2 linked regions of the Oryctolagus cuniculus genome follow. The protein of the gene in region 1 purifies or fractionates together with the protein of each later gene. This does not show direct contact. Links are inferred from orthologs where the notes say so. Each region holds a gene or a part of one and is shown on either strand. Other genes may lie near its edges.

What was found. The genes of interacting proteins can lie anywhere in the genome.
Region 2: the proteins of CHD4 (region 1) and UBTF purify together in Homo sapiens (affinity purification with mass spectrometry, with the first as the bait; 3 studies listed by BioGRID). This does not show direct contact. The link is inferred for Oryctolagus cuniculus from reciprocal best matches to the Homo sapiens genes CHD4 and UBTF.

What each region holds. Positions count from the first base shown.
Region 1 is NC_091440.1:102,904,686-102,908,332, reverse strand, and holds part of CHD4 (chromodomain-helicase-DNA-binding protein 4), read right to left. Parts: intron 1,996-3,647; coding exon 1,874-1,995; intron 1,692-1,873; coding exon 1,476-1,691; intron 1,279-1,475; coding exon 1,160-1,278; intron 1,034-1,159; coding exon 792-1,033; intron 564-791; coding exon 436-563; intron 192-435; coding exon 56-191; intron 1-55. UniProt on the Homo sapiens protein: ATP-dependent chromatin-remodeling factor that binds and distorts nucleosomal DNA. Acts as a component of the histone deacetylase NuRD complex which participates in the remodeling of chromatin.
Region 2 is NC_091448.1:19,049,924-19,052,313, reverse strand, and holds part of UBTF (nucleolar transcription factor 1), read right to left. Parts: intron 2,390-2,390; coding exon 2,248-2,389; intron 2,158-2,247; coding exon 2,116-2,157; intron 2,028-2,115; coding exon 1,914-2,027; intron 1,806-1,913; coding exon 1,650-1,805; intron 1,349-1,649; coding exon 1,193-1,348; intron 1,107-1,192; coding exon 996-1,106; intron 639-995; coding exon 550-638; intron 458-549; coding exon 268-457; intron 1-267. UniProt on the Homo sapiens protein: Recognizes the ribosomal RNA gene promoter and activates transcription mediated by RNA polymerase I (Pol I) through cooperative interactions with the transcription factor SL1/TIF-IB complex.

The sequences.
Region 1 (3,647 bases):
GCCCCAGTCACTCCCACGTCACCCCTCCACAGACAGATGCAGACAGGAAACACACCTTTCTTTTTCTTTTTAGTGGTTCGGAGTTTCTTGCGGCTCCGGCTGCTGCGGCTGGTGGAACCATCAGAAACAGAATAGCTATTGATACTGGCATCATCGAAGTCAGATTCCACATCTAAGTCATCATCCTCACTCTAGAGAATGAAAAGAATGAGTCAGGTTAGAAATGCCAGCCAAGAGGAAGGAGAGTGGTGGAGAGGGGTGCACTCTTTCACCAGGGCCATCAGCAGCCATTAAGGACTCTTAGACAGGGAGCCCAGCTACATGCCGTTCTGTGGCCAAATCCCCACATTCTACGTGAAGGGCGGGTCCCGACATGAGGCAGCACCTTTCTATTAGACACGGCACCTTGGGCAAAGGGATGGGCTGGGGACTCACCGAAGATCTCTTACGCTTGGAACCAAAGCCTCCCAGCTTAATTTTCAGGGGTGCTACTTTCTTGGGTTTAGGCTTCTTGGCATCAGGTACACGAGGGCTACCCTTGGGCTTCCTCCGAGCATTGGGACCTAAAAATCAGAATGCATCCAAGTAGATATCTCACAGGGGTAAAAGAGTACGGAAAATCAAATCTCTCCCTTAGCTTGCTTCACGTGTCGGGCTTCCCCAATCTCCTTCCTAAACTCAAGACCCAGTGCGCCCTCCCATCTGCTACCTCAGGGCCAACAGGGCAGTCCATGCTCTGTCTGACATCCTAAGTCCACACCAGGCCCCTCTCCCACTGCATCCCATCTCACCTTTGCCCTCCTTGGTCTTGGCTTTGCGGATAGGCACCTCCACAGGGGGAGGTGGTGGTGCCACTTCGGTGGCTGTCACCATGCTCTCCACCACAGCCACTGCAGCCGCTGCCGCCGCTGCCACCGAAGCCCCAGAACTCCCTTTGAAGGGGTTGTTGGTACTGAACTCCCGCCACTTAGCACCCAAAACCATCATCATCTTGGAGACAGCAATCTTGGGGTTTTTGGCTGCAATGAGGGGTCTGGTAGAGGAATGGAAGAAAAAAAAAAAAAAACACAGAAAAGAGAAAATGTTTAAGAGTAAAAAAAGAGAAAGAGAAGAGAGATCATAGAAGAAGTCTCCTCCCACCAAGCCCCTGCTGGTTTACCGGACAAACTGGCTGAAGGCCTTGTAGTTGGTGAGGGTGCGATAATCCTCCTCCGAGAACACATGGTCAATGTCTTCCATGCCCCAATCTTCTAGGAGCTGAGCGGATGATTTAGGCTCCTGCAGAAGAGAGCAAGGTCAAGGTCCTGCCACCCGGTGCCCACACTTGCTAAGGGAATTTGAGTTCAAACTATGGCTCGTGAGACCCGGGTAACAGAGTTAACAGGAAATAAATAGAAAGAGGTGGACAGAGAACGTTCCAGGGGGCTGCAAGGACAGAAGTTAACAGCTAAGAAAAGGTGACAGAGGTCCAGCACCTTGGAATCATCGTCATCGTCATCTTCCTCCTCCTCCTCCTTCCGTTTGGATTTGTTCTTCTTCTCTTTCTTAGGCCCAAGCTTCTTCTTCTTCTTCTTGCCAGGGGTATAGTCGCTGCCCTCACTGTCTGAGCGCAGAGCCACCTCTTCCTCCTCCTCCACAAACTCCGGCCCCTCCCCAGAGCTGTCCCCCAGCTGCCGGCATAAGAGCAAACGCTGGAGCAGGGAAGGGGGAGAGGGAGACAGACACGCACATGCTACACACATGCTGACCTCAGGACAGCCCTGAGGCTCATCGCCAAGACCCAGCCCGCCACTCCAGAGGAGCCAAGGACCCCGAACCTTCCCAGAGCTCCCCCTCTTCCTGCCGTCCCAGTAACATTCAATCACCCACTCACCTCCTTTTTTTGGCGCTTGCTCTTGGGGATTTTAGGGTCCCGAGGTTTCTTAGGCTTTTTCTTCTTCTTGAGCTTTGGAGTCTCTGCTTCTGATAAATCCTCTTCTGGGTCCTCTTCGTTCTCTGCATACATTGGCCAACAGCGATGCGCAGCGAAGAGATCAATAGCAAAAGGTCAGGCCCTAATCCAGAGGCTTCCGACTTCATTCCCCACCTCCTGCCCCAGATTTTCCTGAAGAGAACTGCTATGCTCTCCGCAGAAGGCCGCTGATCCTCAGGACAAAAACACCGAGAGAGCTGGAGATACCCAAAACAGGCCTGGCAGCTCAGAGCAGGCCCACCTCAGGCCGCTGGCCAGAGCCCAGTCCCTCTTCCCCGTTTCTCCAGCAGACCTCAGGTGCTCACCAGTGCAACTGAACCGAGATGCCTACAGCTCACCAAACAAGAGAACTAGGCCCAAGCCTCCTGCAGCTGGCCACCAAGCACTCTATACACCAGGGAGTGAGAATGAAAGGTCTACCCAAAGGCAAACACTACAGAGCGGAGGCTCAGCGCATGCCCAGAACACCATCAGCTTCGGGGTCCCAGACACCACACCTTTCTGGAATCCCTCTGGGATCATCACTGCTCAAAACAACCAGACTCCACGCCCCAGGTTCAGTTGCCAGCCCAACCTCGTGTCCTCTACCACACACAATTTCCTTCCCCCATCTCAGCCCTACTCTTCTTCCCCAGCTCCTCCTGGGTCAGTAGCCTCTTCTCTCTAGGGGCCCAAATCAGCCCAGCTGTCACCATCTCCCCCTCAGCCAATCCTCCTCCCATCTGGCTCCACCTCCTCCCCTGGCTGGAAGCACACACAAAGCCTGGGGTAATACTGAGAGCTCCTGGGCAGGGATAGGTGGGAAGGGGCACAGAGGGGGAGGAGAGGCCAGGAGGCAGCTCCCTTTGTAGCAGACATTCACACCAGCACACCAGCTCCCTCCTCCCCCCTCCCTCCCTCTTCCCAAGCCACCCCCGCTGGGGGGGGGGGGGGCGGGGAGTGGAGAAGGGAGTGGAGAGAAGAAGGGAGTGCCTCACCCACTGAGGAAAGGGAAAATGGCTCCTGACCGCAGAAGCCGGCCCAGGGCACCCAGCTGCCAACATAGGACAGACAGGAAGTGGCAGGGGAGGGGGGCGGGGTTGACAGAGGTAGCCAGGAGAGACTGCCCTCACAGGAGACTTCCCAAATAGCTACCTGGCCCCAGGTCCAAATGCAACCCATCTTTAACACCTACTCTGGGATGACCCAGTTCTTGAGAGGTCACACCTATGTCCTAGGCAAGGAAACCCAAGGACACCAACACACACATGAAGGGTCAAACTCTGGGAGGGACTGGACCACTCCTCCAACCATCATCAGGTTTTCCGTCACCAGGGACAGAGCTGAAGTCTGCAAGCGCTCGGCTTCCTCCTTGACCCCATCCAAAGTCCCAGCAGGAACACCGGAGCCATGTCCAAAGCCCCCAAATTTTAAGAAGGTAGACAGTGATAGGAAACAATGTTTCCTTCAATACCACAAGGAGCTTAGCTCCTGACCCTCCCCCTTCTCCCCCCTAAATGCTTCTGGCTCCGCCCTTCTGGAGTTAACCATATACTAGGGAACATAAGACATTAGGCTGGACAAAGCCCCATCAGCCTCCCCCTCTGACTCAGCCCAGGATCAGGCCAGGTACAAAAAAGCCCCTCACATTCCCATGGGAATAGGACACCAGCCCCAATCATTTTCTTAAGGGCTT
Region 2 (2,390 bases), on another chromosome or scaffold:
TCCCTGGGCCCTCGGCAGCGCTGGCTGAGCAGGACACGCGTGACTCCCCCCACTTTACAGGAGTGACTGTTCAGCCGAGGCACACAGGGGAAGCTCAGAGGCTGGGAGCCAAGCACAGGCTGGCCCCAGCTCGAGAGAGGCAGAGGCGGGCTGGCTGGAGTTGTTCTGACCACGTGCTCCAGGGCGAGTTCCTTAAGCCATCAGAGCCTTGGCTCCCTGGCTGCCGGGTGCCCGCCTCTCCCCCTCCGGAGGCCCCCGGGCCCTCACCTTGACCCAGAGGTCCAGGTGCACCTTGTACTGCTTCTGCTGCTCCTCGGCCAGCTTCTTGTAGTGCTCCTTCTGGCTCTGCGAGATGCGCTGCCAGCGGCTGCCAATCTCCACCATGCGCTCTTTCAGTGGCAGGTGGTTCAGCTCGCCGTTGGACAGCAGCTCCTGGGAGAACTTCTGGTAACCGTTCCTGGGGGCGACGGGCAGGGCAGGCAGGGTCAGGACCCCCGCAGGGCAGCCCCCTCCCCAGCCCCAGGTGGGTGGCGGCCGCGGGGCGCTCACATGGGCGGCTTCTTGGGTTCCCCCTGGAACTTCATCTTCTTGGAAGAGTTGGCGGCAGCCGGAGGCGCCCTCATCTCACTCAGCTCCCTCTGTGCAGAAAACCATGAGGGTCACATCAGCCCCACCCCATGCCCGCAGCCCCCTCATCAGGCTCTCCTATGTGCTAGGCAAGGGGGGGAAACTGAGGCAAAGTTGGAGAGCAGCTTCCTAGTAACACACAGTTGGGACAGGTGTCAGTGCTTTCAGAGTTGCTTTGGTATCCCCACGAGCCACCTGGGGGGGTCGCGCCCCCCCCCAGTTTAACTGAGACAGAAGAGGTTTGCTCAGGCTCAAACAAGCCATGCTAGGATTCCAGGCTCCAGAGGCCCACGAGCAAGGACTACCCCGAGGGAGGTCCCCTGGCCTCCAAGGCAGGAGGTGGTCCCATCCCGCCCTCCCACTCCCACCTCATAGCGCTTTTGGTCTTCGGCCGCCTTCTTAATCCACATCAGCTTTTCCTTCTTCTCCATGTTGTTCCAGGTCATCTCCATGGCTTTCAAGGCCTTCACCCGGTCGTTCTGGGGGCAGACGGGGCGATGAGCTGTGCAAGGGGTCCCCAAGGGCCCGAGGCTGCCCTGCGAGCCCTGCCCCACTGCCCTGCCACCTTGAAGCGGGCCAGGTAGTCGCCGATGACGCTCTGCTGCCAGATCTCCTCGGCTCTCTTGGGCGACTCGGGCAGCTTGCCCCGCTCCTCGCGCTCGGCCCCGGGCTTCCTCTCCGACTGCGCCTTCAGCGCCGCCTCGCGCGCCTTGTACTTGGCCTGCAGCAGGGGAACCGCACAGGCGTCAGCTTCCCCGCCGCCCGCAGGGGGCGCGCGACGCCCAGTCCCGCAGCAGGAGGGCGGGGCCCGCGGCCGCGTGGGCGGGAGCAGCTGTCTCCCGCCTGGGGCTCAGCCTCCGCCCACGGGCCTGCTCCCCGGGGAGCCTCAGCCCTCAGCTGACAGCTTCCCGCCTTCCGGCTCGGCTCGCGGGGCTCCCAGCCCCGCCAGCTGAGCGCGGGCGCACGTGCGGGCCGCACGGGGCGAGGGGAGGCGCAGCGCTGGGCTCCCGGGCGAGCCTGACCTTCTTCTTCTCGGACAGGTCGTTCCACATGCGAGCCAGCAGGCGGGTCAGCTCGCTCTCCGAGAGCTCGGGCCGCTCCTCTTGCAGCTGCCGCCGCTTCTCCTCGGAGAAGATGAACATGGCCGACACGGGCCGCTTGGGCTTCTCCGAGCCCCCCTGTGCAAGTGCAGAGAGGGTCGGGGTCCACGGGGTGCCGACGGGGGAGCCCTGCCCCAGCCCCGACACCTGCCTGCCCGCCGAGGGGAGCCGGGGGAGCCTGCCCACCTTGCCTCCTTCCTGGGAGGGCTTCTTGGAGGCCGGGCTGGTGGCTTGCTTCTTGTTGATGTTCAGCATCTTCTCCTCGCCCAGGACCCGCTGCTGCTCCTCCTCGGGCAGGCTCTGGCACGGAGTGGGGAGGGCAGGGGTGAGGGCTCGGGCTCCCCAGGGCAGCCTCTGCCCAGCGCCCCGACCTCAGCCCGACGCTCACCTCGAGGAAACGCAGCAGCTCCACCTCGTAGTCTTTCTTTTTCTGGGAAGGTAAGGGGAACCGCGGTCAGCCTTGGGCAGCCTCGCCGGAGAGCCCGCAGGCCCCAGGGGCTGCGGCACGCGCGCGGCTCACCTGGTCGCACTTCTTGTGGTAGGCGTCCTTCTCCTTCTGCGACAGCAGCTTCCACTGCTGGCTGCACAGCACCATGCGCTCCGTGCTGGGCACGTCCTTCATGCTGGCCATGAGCTCTGCGCAGTACAGCGAGTAGCTGTTCC